Arabidopsis thaliana: one gene and its partner. The protein of the gene in region 2 purifies or fractionates together with the protein of the main gene of each other region. This does not show direct contact. Each region holds a gene or a part of one and is shown on either strand. Other genes may lie near its edges.

Evidence for each region. Proteins that work in one complex are often made in the same cells at the same time.
Region 1: the proteins of SHD (region 2) and NAP1;2 fractionate together in Arabidopsis thaliana (co-fractionation; one large-scale study listed by BioGRID). This does not show direct contact.

The regions. Positions count from the first base shown.
Region 1 is NC_003071.7:8,434,862-8,441,951, forward strand, and holds NAP1;2 (nucleosome assembly protein 1;2), read left to right. Parts: upstream 1-3,594; 5' UTR 3,595-3,739; coding exon 3,740-3,785; intron 3,786-3,889; coding exon 3,890-3,933; intron 3,934-4,161; coding exon 4,162-4,257; intron 4,258-4,386; coding exon 4,387-4,479; intron 4,480-4,701; coding exon 4,702-4,789; intron 4,790-4,893; coding exon 4,894-4,955; intron 4,956-5,037; coding exon 5,038-5,222; intron 5,223-5,305; coding exon 5,306-5,483; intron 5,484-5,570; coding exon 5,571-5,614; intron 5,615-5,697; coding exon 5,698-5,914; intron 5,915-6,010; coding exon 6,011-6,028; intron 6,029-6,110; coding exon 6,111-6,179; 3' UTR 6,180-6,640; downstream 6,641-7,090. Other genes in the region: ckl5 (casein kinase I-like 5), read right to left, coding at 58-142, 222-285, 379-440, 554-624, 710-805, 879-1,027, 1,108-1,177, 1,247-1,287 and 1 more; RECA2 (recA DNA recombination family protein), read left to right, coding at 6,871-6,927. UniProt on the Arabidopsis thaliana protein: May modulate chromatin structure by regulation of nucleosome assembly/disassembly. May function in nucleotide excision repair (NER). Involved in somatic homologous recombination.
Region 2 is NC_003075.7:12,552,170-12,559,259, forward strand, and holds the start of SHD (Chaperone protein htpG family protein), read right to left. Parts: upstream 3,890-7,090; 5' UTR 3,683-3,889; coding exon 3,616-3,682; coding exon of another isoform or gene 3,612-3,615; intron 3,512-3,611; coding exon 3,394-3,511; intron 3,312-3,393; coding exon 3,158-3,311; intron 3,067-3,157; coding exon 2,986-3,066; intron 2,820-2,985; coding exon 2,708-2,819; intron 2,623-2,707; coding exon 2,496-2,622; intron 2,403-2,495; coding exon 2,264-2,402; intron 2,046-2,263; coding exon 1,931-2,045; intron 1,827-1,930; coding exon 1,633-1,826; intron 1,544-1,632; coding exon 1,328-1,543; intron 1,246-1,327; coding exon 1,080-1,245; intron 960-1,079; coding exon 818-959; intron 734-817; coding exon 583-733; intron 506-582; coding exon 101-505; intron 18-100; coding exon 1-17. Other genes in the region: AT4G24200 (Transcription elongation factor (TFIIS) family protein), read right to left, coding at 4,758-7,090. UniProt on the Arabidopsis thaliana protein: May have a molecular chaperone role in the processing of secreted materials. Required for shoot apical meristem (SAM), root apical meristem (RAM) and floral meristem (FM) formation, probably by regulating the folding of CLAVATA proteins (CLVs).

The DNA.
Region 1 (7,090 bases), on a different chromosome or scaffold from region 2:
CTTTGAAACATGGATTCGTATAAGTTTCTAAATGTAAACCATATAAGAAGAACTTACTTCGATGGAAGTTGAAACCTTCTTTTCGCTGATCTTATCATACTTCTGTTTCTTGTTTCCAGCTTTCAGCCCTTGCCAAGGGAGACTACAAGAGAATAAGATATTAGAGATGGATTGGGAGACAAGAATCAGAACAGAAAGAAAAGTTACTTAATGACTCTCACCTTCCCTTGAGGAAATACATGAGGATGTAACCAAGCGATTCTATATCATCTCTCCGACTTTGCTCTACCAAGTGAAAAATGTCAAAAAGTAATCAGTGAAAGAGGAGAAAAAGATCCGCGATTATCATGAGGGTTTATAGAAAGTGATGGAGTATACCAATCCCTAGGTGAGTGTTCAAGCTGGCATACCTCGGAGTCCCAATTAGACTTTTATTCTCCCTGAATCATTTACACGTAAAATCCAAACAATAAAGAACCCGTTGTCAGGAAATCTGAAGCTGACATACAATATGCTGAAAATGCTGAATCTGTGACATCCAAAATCTTGTTACCTGTATGGGATATGTCTATGAGTTGAGCTGTCTCTATATTTCTTAGCCAAACCATAGTCTATGATGTAGACCTAGAGAAAGAGACCAAAATCAGTCATACAATAGCGAGACCCCAAAAACAAATCCAACTGAGAGAATTTGCAAAAGTAAGAAAACCTGATTTGCCCGCCTCCCTAAGCCCATGAGAAAATTATCCGGCTTTATATCACGATGAAGATACGACTTAGAATGAATGAACTCGAGACGATTTATCTGACACAAGATAAACCCAACAGTGAGAGAGTTACATTAAGAATGACAAGACACCAATCCAAAGCATAATTACCATTTGATCAGCAAGCATAAGAACAGTCTTCAAGCTAAACTGCCTCTTGCAATAACTAAACAAATCTTCAAGACTTGGACCAAGCAAATCCATGACTAAGACATTGTAGTCCCCCTCAACACCATACCATTTCATATTTGGAATCCCAGCTACATTAACGAACATACACAAGAAATGAATAACCAAATGAGAATTCAATAACAATAGAGATAAACATTTCATTGCATACTTCCACCCTGAAGAACTCTATATATCCTCGACTCATATGACAATTGCGGATGCGCAGTCTTCACACTTTCCTGCACACACACAAAAAAAACTAAGTTTTGATGATCCAAGTTGGGACTTTGAAGAGATGAAACACTCACAAGCTTAATAGCAACTTCTTCGTTAGTCTGAACATCAGTTCCTGCAATCAAAACAGTCTCATCAAACGACTATTGAAGAGATTTTATATGTATAGAGAGGGGAGGAACGAACCGAGGTAAATCTCTCCGAAAGAGCCGCTCCCAATTTTGCGGCCAAGGCGAAACTTGTTCCCAACACGAGGTTCCATACCCAATTGAAAAAACCCTAACTTTGTGGTTTTATCTATCTACTACGTCGAGCGGATTTCTCGATTTCTCATGCGGAGGAGAGTGAAGTGCGATGATCAAAACTAGGGCTTTTGCGAAGAAGAGGGGAAGAATCGAGCAGGTTGAAATTGGAAGTGAGTAGGTGAGGAAATTTAGGGAGATTCCATGGTGTTTTGGTTAAGCAACCAGAAGCAAGCAAGATGAAGAAGACTGCGCGTGTGTGTGTGTCTCGCTTAGCCTGTTGCTTTTGGTCTTTTCTATTCCTTTTCTCAATTTATTAAATATCTTTATTCGGTGAAAAAAATATACAGTATATTTCTTAGAAACTTTATAATAAGAATAAGGATTTTGTTTTTATATTTTCCTAAATTCCATAAATCTCTTAAGTTTACAAATTCATATATCTTTTAACATTTAAACAAATAACCAGACTTCTAGTAATATATATAAATTTATTTAGGGAGTGTTATTGGTTTGTGATGTATTCGAAGTTTCAGTGACTTAAAATGTTATGAAGAATTTGTTGTTATTCAATAAAGATTTTTCAATTTTTTGTTAAAGTTTGGTGTTATTAGTTTAAGATTTGTAAAAAGTAATATAAAATCTTCATAAATGTAGAGTTATTGGATTCATATTTTTATAAAGTTATTAAATTTTTTGTGTAATTCATTTAAAACAAAGAATCTATGATTATTATAATGAATTAAATTATTGTGTTATTGGTTTATGACTTTCTACCCTTTTTTTTATAAAATAAAGTTGTGAAAAATATCATACCCTTTTTTTTTACAAAATAAAGTTGTGAAAAATATCATAAAAATAAAGAAATTGTTTGAGAAACTTTACAAAATTATTAAAAACTAATCAACAAGTTTATTAATGACCTTAAACCAAAATAGGTACATATAATATTAGATAGATCATGCAAATGCGTTTGGTGGTTATGTTACTTTTGTATCATTTGATTGGCATGATGTTCTACATTTTTTTACCATTTCTCTATTCTTAAGTCGAAATCTTTAGGACCAAATAAGCATTTTTCCCTAAACTAACAAAGCAGCATCTCACTAGATGTTTTCCAATCAGATTTGCTTACTATAGTGTGCTAATATGAAATTTGAGTGACTCATGACAATGCATCAATCCAGATTAAGCATTAACATGTGATCAGCTAGCATTCATGAGAATATGAGAATTGTCTTCGAGCTAAAAGAAAGTAGACTCTTTTTTCACTTGAGAAACTCATGACATACTTTTTTTTTATATACATTTGTTTTTTGATGATTAGGTTAAACTTTTGTAATAAATAAATTTTTAGTTAAATAAATAAACTTCTATCATCAAAAGACTCGTGAGTTTCTTCCTATGTTGCAATGAAATGGAAACGAAAACGCGAATACGAAACGTTTCGGAAACGAGAAACGATTTTTTCTTAAAATTAGGGATTGGAAACGATTTTTTCTTAAAATTAGGGATTGGAAACGTATACACATACATACATATATATATATATATATATATAACATTAACATAAAACTATATTAAAGAAAAAATGGTTTAAACAATACAAGTCCAAAACATCAATATTAAATAAATAAACTAAAATTCTAAAAGATAAAAATTAAAAGGTTCAAGTTCAAATAGTTAATTTAGACCAACATTTTCATTTTCATTAGTTTCATCAAAGATAATATAAAGCTCTTTTCAAATCTGGTTTATCAAAAGAAATATCTTAAAACTCAAAGTCTTCCAAAATTAGTTATATGTATTAATAATTTTAATAATTTTAATTTTAGTTATTAAATTTTCAAAGTTGAAAAAAATTTGTCGTATGTCTATTTGGGAAACATGAGTTTCTATCTTTAAAACGTAAGTTTCCATCGTGTTTCCAAACATAAATTTTTAAAAAACGCGTTTCCGTTACGTTTTTCATGTTTCCGGAGAGTTTCTGTTTTCGTAACGTTTCGGAAATGGGAAATAGACCTCGGGGCGAGTTTCCATGCAACCTAGATTTCTTCTAACCAATAGAAATGCTCTTAAAAGCCTTTTTTTAAAAAAAATCAACAGAAATGCTCTTAAATGTTAAAAACAAATATTCATGCCAAATTTTGATGTAAAAATTTGTTATTTTCGCTTTAGTTGTGTCTTATTTCGGTCTGGTCATTTTCTCAAAGCCCTTTTAGTTATTTATATATATATTCTCTGTCTCGTATTTGTCCCCAAAAATCTAGGGTTTTAAGGTTTCTTATCCTTCCTCTTCCTCCGCCAGATTCTTTTCTTGCGAAGATGAGCAACGACAAGGACAGCATGAACATGTCCGATCTCTCCACCGGTAAGATATTATAATCTTATTGTCCTATAGAATGAGGCCTGGATTCTCTTTTGTTCTCTTGATTTATTGAAAAAAGCTTCTCTTGTTTTGTGTTTTGCTTATAGCTCTTAACGAGGAGGATCGTGCCGGGCTTGTTAATGCTCTTAAGGTGAGTTTTTTCTTCACGATATGATTTGCGTATGACTATCTGGAGATTGGGCTATTCATCTTTGTAACTTTTAGGGATTGTTTTCTCTTCCTGACTAGTTTTGAGAAATTGATTTGATTCTTATGGCTTAGAGAATTTGACTTTGGTTTTGAGGATTGTCTATGCATCTTAATTTGGTTGTTTGAAAGTTTGTGACTTTTCCTGATTTGATTTACGTGTTTGCTGCAGAACAAGTTGCAGAATTTGGCTGGACAACACTCTGATGTCCTTGAAAACTTGACTCCACCAGTCAGGAAGCGTGTCGAGTTTCTAAGAGAGATTCAGGTGAGTAAATTTTCAGCTTTTAGATGATCTTGGATTTTGTATTGGTTTTGAATTAGCTGGCTGTTCAGGTCTAATGAGTTTTTGGTGGAGCAAATTTATCTGATTCCTTTTGTATTTTAACCTTTGCAGAACCAATATGATGAGATGGAAGCAAAATTCTTTGAGGAGAGAGCAGCTCTTGAAGCTAAGTATCAAAAGTTATATCAGCCTTTATATACCAAGGTTTGAATACGGTCTTTGATTCTGCGAGATTCTTATGGTCTTTAGTTTCCTATTATTAGAATATCTTTGAAACACATGATGACACCTCAATTGATAAAGGTTTAATAAGACTTCTCTCTGTTGCTACTTACGTGAATGATTAGTGCTTCATGGTTTTCACTTCTTTCTGCATCATTCGTGATTGTAACTGATATTGATGGTCTTCTGCCTTCTGCATCACAGCGATATGAGATTGTGAATGGTGTGGTCGAAGTTGAAGGTGCAGCTGAAGAAGTAAAATCCGAACAAGGAGAAGATAAATCAGCTGAAGGTGTGTTTATCGATTCTTTTACTGAAACATGTTTATTTTTAGTATCTTATGATGATGATGGTGAACTCATGATTTTTATATGATATGAAACTGTCTTTCTGCAGAGAAAGGAGTACCAGATTTCTGGCTTATTGCATTGAAGAACAATGAAATTACTGCGGAAGAGGTTCGTTATTAGAATATTCTTCTTTTTGGTTTATAAAATGGCGATTCTCTTTATCATTATGTGGTTTTTTCCACGGTTTTAGATAACTGAGCGAGATGAAGGGGCTCTCAAGTATCTCAAAGATATCAAGTGGAGTAGGGTTGAAGAACCAAAAGGGTTCAAGCTTGAGTTTTTCTTTGATCAGAATCCTTACTTCAAGAACACTGTCTTGACCAAGACATATCACATGATTGATGAAGATGAGCCTATCCTTGAGAAGGCCCTCGGGTAATGTTTTGCTCTATCAAGTATTTACTGTTTATGTTCTGAAGACAATAAGTCTTTATTGACTGTCGTTTACTGCTGTTCAGGACGGAGATTGAGTGGTATCCTGGAAAGTGTTTGACACAGAAGATTCTAAAAAAGAAGCCAAAGAAAGGATCCAAAAACACAAAGCCGATCACTAAGACTGAGGACTGTGAGAGTTTCTTCAACTTTTTCAGTCCACCTCAAGTTCCTGACGATGATGAGGATCTTGATGATGACATGGTATTTCCATCTCCATAAGCAGTTTAGTTTTTAGAGTCAGTAATTAAGATTGTGTTGGATTTTAATCTGATCATCTAATATTCACAGGCTGATGAACTCCAAGGACAAATGGAGCATGATTATGATATCGGGTGTGTACCTTTCTATTTCATATTCAGTTCTCTTCACTTAGTTCAGTTCTAGGATCTGAGTCTGTCCACTGTTTATCCTGTAGTTCAACAATCAAAGAGAAAATCATCTCGCATGCTGTGTCATGGTTCACTGGTGAAGCTGTTGAGGCAGATGACCTTGATATTGAGGACGACGATGATGAGATTGATGAAGATGATGATGAAGAGGACGAGGAAGATGATGAGGATGACGAGGAGGAGGATGATGAGGATGATGACGAGGAGGAAGAAGCAGATCAAGGAAAGAAGAGCAAAAAGAAGGTAAATTATGTGGTTTTGTTCTACTTAAAACCTTCCTACATAGGAAACTAAAACCTCTGAAACTGATTTGGTGGTTTATCTTTTGTTTTGTTGCAGTCATCAGCTGGGCACAAGGTTTAACAATCAATCAATCTCGATCTTTTTTTTTTGTTGATAATGCAATGGCTAACCTGAGGTATCCTTTTTTAATGAACAGAAGGCTGGAAGAAGTCAACTTGCGGAAGGTCAAGCAGGTGAGAGGCCACCGGAATGTAAGCAGCAGTGAAGAAGTGAAGAATCTTGGCTTAGTTATGATGAAGAAGAAGAGTGAAGAGTGTCTTTGAGCCGAGGTTGTGTTTCTTTAATTTGCAGAGTCATGGTCCGGTTTATTATATATCAGTTTTGGGTGATTGGTTTGCTATTTAAAAAAAAAAAATGGGTTCTTTGGTTTGGTTTGTGTCTCTTGATTTTTCCTTTTGTAATGATCTTATGAATTTGTTTCGAGTTAATGTCGTTCTCTGGTCAGATTTCGAATTCAATTCTATTTATCCTCCCTCGTTAATGAGAGAATTTGTGAGACAATCTAGTTTACTTAAGATTGATCGAATTTTATAAACCAACATTACCAAACCGTCAAATAATTAAAACCAATCAATCTTATTTATCGGTTTGCATAACCCATCAATGAGCCGGTTTAGACATCGGTTTGAGTTTCTCTGGGAAAGACAAAAGTCAAAAACATCTCTGCCGACTTGTAAAAGACCGATCAACAGAAACCCAAAAAAAATAGTTGAAACGGAGGGAAACGAAAACCTAAAACCCTAAAAAACTCTTCCTTTTTTTTTTCCAGTGAAATTTCTCTTCTTCTCCGTTTTCATACAAGTCTGACTTCTGGGTAGTTGGAATTTTCCAGTTTTTGGTTTGTTTCTGTATCTGTGGTTTAAAAAAGTGGAGAAGAAGCTTTTTAGTGCTTTTCTATGGCGAGGATTCTCCGAAACGTTTATTCACTGAGAAGCTCTCTGTTTTCGTCAGAGGTATGTTTATCGTGTTTCTCATTTGGGTATTACGAGAAATTAAAAAAACTCTGTTACTGTCGTTTTCATTGCTTATTTGGGTATTCATTCATGAGAAAGAATCCGAAATGTTGTCTCTTAATTTGAATTCATTCTTTTTTTCTGGGTAATGTTTATTGACAAG
Region 2 (7,090 bases):
TCCTTCACACTCTCATCCTGAGAGAATTTGGTATGTTAGTTTATTTCTCTAATAGACAGTAAGTAAAAAAAAGAATTGATGGGTCTTATGTTTGTTTTACCTCTGGGTCACTTGCAATTCTATCCTTGAGTTCTTTGATGATAGGGTGTCGTGGGTTGATCTCGAGGACTCTCTTTCCGCGCATGTAAGCTTGCTTATTAGCATCCGAGAGAGTTTGGGACTGCATGATCCTCTCCATATTAGCACTCCATCCAAACTTGGATGTTACGACTACACATGGAGTGTCAGCCAAACGGTTGCTGATTTTGACATCGTCTACGTTTTCGCTAGCGAGATTTCCTTTCCACCACTTTGTTAGCTCCTTGAATGCTTCCTTCAGCTCCTTGTCTTTTGAATCTTTCCCAACCTTCAGTCCTTCCTTGGACACATTCTGGAACTTTTTGTCTTCGTAATCCATCAGGTATTGCATCAAGTATTCATCAACTGGGTCTGTGAAGAAGATGACCTGGGAACACAAGTATGAGAACGTGTTATGCGAGTTGGAGATCATTTAAAGAAGAATTATTCGTGTGCAATGCAAACCTCATAGCCCTTCTTGATGAGCCTCTCCAGGAATGGAGATTTCTCTAGCTGTTCCTTGCTGCTTCCTGTGATGTAAAATATGTCCTTTTGGCTCTTTTTCATTCTCTTAATGTACTGATCCAGGGAAGTCAATTTTCCATCGGACTTTGTTCTGAAATAGCAAAATACAAATCTTTAGCCTGCTGGTGCTAATGAATGGACAGACGTGTATTAAAAAAAAAGTAACAGAGCTTACGTCTCAAAACGAAGAAGTTTTGCCAAGCGGTTCCTGTTAGCAGCATCCTCAATGATACCTAGTTTGACAGACTTGCCAAACTCGTTCCAGAATTTTGTGTATTGACCCTTCTTCTCATCGTTCTCACCAGACTTCTCCACATCTGCGTGCCAACAAGTCAATAAGCTTAGACCATGTTTCAGAAAGATGAAGCTACCAAATGGTAAAAAAAAGTGGAACGGTCAAAGTGGATTGATACCAAGAAACTTGTTTTATGGAATACCTTTTTTCTCATCATCATGGATTTCATCAGGATCTTCTTCAGCAAGCTTGCGGATCATATCAAGCGCCTTTCGGATAAGCTTCTTCTTAATTGTCTTTAAGCTGCTGTGTTGTTGAAGCATTTCTCTTGATACATTTAGAGGCAATGTGTCAGAGTCAACAAGACCCTGCAAAAGCAACTCACGTTAGGGATTTAGCCCATAAATTTGTATTGAAAGAACCCCTTAGTTTGTCTTTCAAGTAGTTTACCTTCAAGAAACTCAAATACTTAGGCAGAAGCTCATCAAATTCATCTGAGATGAACACCCTCCTGACATATAGCTTCAAGTTCGCCTTGTTGCTGTTGTAATAGCTCTCGTATAGATCATGGGGAGCTTTCGGAGGAACATACAACACAGCCTTGAATTCAACATCACCTTCAGCATTAAAGTGACTCCAAGCCATTGGCTTCTCGTCGGTAAAATCCTGTATAACAACTGGGGTCAGGGAAATCCACACGAAAATTTTACACCTAGTATGTAACAAGTATGATTTAGTTAACGCATGGTTTTCACCTTTGAGAGAGAGTGGTAGAATTTAGTGTACTCTTCCTCTGTCACCTCCTTTGGACTTCTCAGCCATATAGCCTTAACATCATTCAGAAGCTCCCATTCATAAACTGTTTCTTTCACCTTCTTGGTTTTCTGCTTTTTCTCACCATCTTCCTCCTCAGCATCTTCTTCCTTTTCTTCCTCGGTAGAGGTGGTTTCTGAAGTCAAGTACCATTACCAAAAATCAGGGCTGCCTAAACTGAAGGGAAAAAAGATAACACTGCAGCAGAAAATTATAATATGGTGTTTCATTAATACTCACCAGTTTCCTCATCAGCTGATTCATCTTCCTCAACTGGGACCTCGGTTTCAACCTCTTTGCTAGCCCAGAGGGAGATAGGGAAGTTAATGAATTCAGAATATCTCTTCACCAATTCCTGTAGTAGACAACAATGATCATTAGCAACCATAATGAGAGGATAAACAGAAATATTGAATAAGCAGTGCACTGAATTCATAATAATGCTGAACCACTTCCCCTCAGGAGAGTTTGGGGTTCTCTACAACAAACCCTGGGTTATTCTGGTTCTTTGCATTGCTTAATTTAGGTTTGTAACAAAAGAGAAATTTACTTTCTTATCAAAATATTACCCACCTTAAGTTTACTTTCTTCTAGGTACTCGCCAGCTTCATCCCTAAGATGTAATCTAATCTCGGTTCCACGTCCAAGAGGCTCATTCCATGTATCCTCGGAAACAGCAAATTTACCGTTAGCCTTTGATTCCCATACATACCTGAAAACGGAAAAGAAGTTATCAGAAAAGCTTTTCAATGATTTTACATGCCCACAAGTATATTGCCAAACAAAGCCCTCTAAATCAACTTACTGGCTGTCATCATTGTGCTTGCTAATGACTTCAATGTAGTCAGCAACAAGATAGGCAGAGTAGAATCCAACTCCAAATTGTCCAATAAGGTTCAAATCCCCACTTGATTGCATTTTCTCAACAAAAGCTGCGAAAGGCAAGATCTTAGAAATATGGAATTTATTGATCCATACTATTATGCAGGACAACGTATCACCACATAAGTAACGTACCTGACGTTCCAGATTTTGCTATGGTACCAAGGTTCTTGATTAAGTCTTCCTTAGTCATACCAATTCCCCGGTCTCGAATAGAAAGAATCTTCTTGGCTTTGTCTAGCTTAATCTGCATACCATAGCATAGTTACGGAGGTAAGAAAAAAGCTTACACTAGACACAATTCCAACGAAAGGCTAAATTTACTGAGATCAGCATTTGATAAAACAAATCGATGAAACTCTATTTTCAACACTCTCAAGCATAAAAATCATATTGAGAAACATGTAGCTAACCTGGATCTCAAGCTTAGCAGTGTCACCTTCACCCAAAACGTCTTTGTCAGTGAGTGCAAGGAACCTAATTTTGTCCAAGGCCTGAAAATCACCAACACAGACACTTATTAGTTCCCCTATTTAACGAGGTATCCCAAAAACTCACTAAAACAATGTACACGAAGCTGCTTACATCAGAAGCATTGGAGATCAACTCTCTTAAGAAAATGTCCTTGTTACTGTATAGAGAGTTGATAATAATGTCCATAAGCCGAGAAACCTCAGCTTGGAACTCAAACTTCTCCGCGTTACTGCGAAGCGTCTTCTTTGACATCGACTCAGACTCTCTGTCGATCAAACGAATTCGAATAAGGCAAGATTCAAGCAATCCAAGCGAAAGTTCTACCGTGAAACTAACAGAACACTAACCTATGAACTACATCGGAATCCGTCGATAAACCACCGTGACCACCAATTTTCTCCTCAACTTTTGGTGGATCTGTAACATCATCGGAACTCTCTTCTGCATTCGCGTGTAACTTTCTTCCTATGATAAACACCACAGAAATATCGCCATCATCAGCATATGAATCCTAAGCAACACTTATATCTATCTACTCAAAATCAACACATATATACATCGAAACGTACCTTGATCTGGAAGAAGAAACAGAAGCGAGAAAAGGAACAAAACGGACACGAGCGTCCTCTTCCTCATTGTTAGATCGGAGCCTTGGTTCTCTCAGTCTTTGCTTTCGGGTTACTCAGTGATGATGATGATTCAGCTCGATAGATCCGTATATAATAGGAAATGATTCAGTGATGTGTGAACTGTTTAGTTGCGTACACTTTAGTTTCTCCTGATTGGTTAGCTTCGTCATGATTTGCCAACGTGTCAGATCTAACGGATCGTATTGTGAGATAGCCACGTGGTAGTTTTGTATTGGAGCAAGGTTTTGTTCTTGACGTGGAGCGACGTGGATTTCGGGGTTGTGGCGTGGATGGACGACTTTTAAATTATCAAAGTATGCTAAATCAACGGTGATATTCGTTTACGTCCTAATTGGGACGATCGGACGGCTATATTTAGTTGTTTTACATGTGACAAATAACTATTGGATATTAGGATGCTATGCTTTTATTGATGTCGGATACAAAAGTAAAATGATGTTTTTCTTTGTACAACGATGATTATGCTTGCCAAGGTTATTACGTTTGGCTGGCTTTAATCGGTTGATGGCTAAAGTCTCGCCTAAAGGCGATACAATTTGTCAATTTGGGAAGATCATAGTCATCACTCATCCGTAGTAGCAATATGTATGCGCGGTTCAAAAATGGTAATGTCTATTTGGTCCCATTATTTATTGAAAGATACAACACGTGAGAGACTTCCTTCCTCACCAGAGACCTCCTTCGCTGCTTTCTTCCATGAACAGTTGTTCAGAAATGAGAGCATAACATATCGACGAATGGAACGAAAATGGACGCAACAGATTAATCAAACCACTAGAACCTTTTCTGTATCTTAAAACTATATATTTATTTATGGAGAAAAACCCAACAAGGTTAAAAAGAAGCTTGACATATACCAATGTTTGAACTAATCCTCCTATATGTTATGAAATAAAATAAAAAACCTGAAAAATGGGAAAACTGAGGAAATAAAAAAAAAAGAAGGAAAAGTTCAGCAAGACACTTTATAAGTTACCTCAAAACACTTGTCATCATCCTTTGACCAATCAATCAATTCATCAACCTATTCAAGAACCCATCTCCACCACTTTGTAGATCACTCACCTCCATGGAGGAAACTCCCAACGTGGCTCCGGCTCTTTTCGCTTTCCACCAATGCTGATAGAAGAACTCGATGAGGGCTCTACATTTGCTCCTGAATGCTCTCCCATAGCCCCGCTTTGTGAAGGTGATAGAAACTGCCTCAAATTTAGCGACTCTCTGTTTCCTATCTCAAGTCCAAACCCAGAGTTCTGATCAAAGTTTGGCCGCATTGATCCATTCGTACTAGGCGATCCACCCGCCAAGCTCATGAACATGTGTTGTTGAGGGAATGGTGGCTGCACATACGGCGCTGATCCGATTATTTGCGGCATCATCACTGGGGTACCTCTTGAATCCACCATGTATGGAATAGCAGTTCCAGGAACATACATGGGTGATGACATTGACAAACCAGGAGGACCAGTCAATCCGTTGTAGCCATACATAGGGGCTGGAGAAAAGGAGACACCAGGGGCTAGACCCAAAGAGTTTCCCGTTCTTCCCATGTGTAAACCTGTTGCAGGCTCGAGGGACTTGCCATTGGACAAGAACGAAGCCATCTGAGGTACAGAGTCTTTTCTGTCAGCTTCCACTTTTGTACCCAAGATAGATATACCTGGTTCTTCCAATTTGTGCCCCCCATAGGAGGCTGTACTCCATGGGTGCCGCCCATAGTAGGGACCCTGATCACGTGAATCAATGAAAAACTGTGGCCTGTCATTCAAATCAAAGTTTACTTCCTTGCCTGATTGTTGAGCAACTGACGATGAGGAGACAGGTGATGCGCTTTGCTGACCATTGTGACTTAAAAACAATCTTGTTTCCATCTTCGACTCAGAAGGTGGAGGCATCTCATCGTCCTCGTTCATACAATTCAAATCCAAGTTGAACTTGCTTGATCCTCGCAGACTGGCTTCATGTGAAGACTCTCCACCCCTAGAGTTTGATGAGGAGAAAGGAAACTGTTTCCAAGGAGTAAGATCTTCAACTTGATCATCTCCTACCTCAGCCACGTTCAGATCGATACCACGAGAAATCACCTGCTTTTCTCTTAAATCCCCACTAGGAACTTTATGAGGTAATGCTGAGTGAAATACACTCGTAGCAGCTGATCCTTTCCCGCTAAGAGATCTTTCCAAATGCCACGGTGCTGCTGCAGGCATTGCAGAAGATGAGACAGAAAATGAAACAGACATAGGAGCAGGGGTTGTAGATGTGGAGGACATAATGACATCTGTTTCATCAGGACATATATCTTGATTAAGATCAAAGCCACATGGGCTTTTCTCTCTGCCTACTTCAGATTTAGCAGCTGTTGCTAGGTGTCTTTCTTCAACATCACCACTTTCAGGTTTGTCATCTTTCTCATCCATTAGATCATCATCTCCAACATGAGGTTCCTCAAAGGAATGGTTTTCAGTCACTGATAATCCCTTAGATGGAGAACCTGTATGTACATCATCATCGCGGGAGTATTGCGAACCAGACTGCCCGCTTTCATCGGATAGTTCTTCTGAAGAACTATGAGAAGGTTCTCCAGAGTCCACTTCTCTTGCGACTTCCTGTGCGACTTTGGTAGCGACCTCCAAGGCATCCAAAATACCAAGATCAATATCAGTAGTTGTTTTGTCAATTGCTCCAAGGCGCTGGGATATGGTCATTGATCTAGAAGAGATGCGTTTTTTTCTCCGTTTTACTCTCCTCTTTTTGTCAGAATGACCCATATCATCTTTTCCTTCATTGTCAGCAAGACCAGTTAAATTGTCACTCTCAAATTTTCTACTTCTACCAAGGCCACCTGATAATCTTGATGAATTGTCAGAATCTTGATTGTCCGTCATATGAGTCAATGAAGACACCTGTTTGCTATTATGGGCTACGCTCACATCGTGCGACCCACATATCGTCCCAGACACATTCTTGCTCACCTCATTTGAATCAAGACTACTCTGCAAAAGACTATTTTTCTCCAACTCCATGCTGGCAACAATAGAATCAGAAGACACAGCTACGTGTCCTGCTGCACTAGATGTCCCTGCTTCACCCAATTTTTCAAGAAAATAGTTTGCCATCTGCTTTTCCTTGGGTATCTCAGCATCCAGTGGAGCATTTGATGGGCCTTCAGCACTATCACGCTCTAAATAAAGTAGGCTACTAGACCCAGTAGGCATAGTACCAAAAGTCGTTGGGCCACTTGTCTCCCCCATAGAGCTTTTTTCCTTCACAGAAAGTTTTTCTTGAACCTCTTTCATGATATCATCGGTACAAGAACCATTGAAAGTTTCAGTCATCGAATTAGAGCAGTGGGAATTCACGTTCGAGACAAACCCAGCCTTGTCGTTCTGCAGTC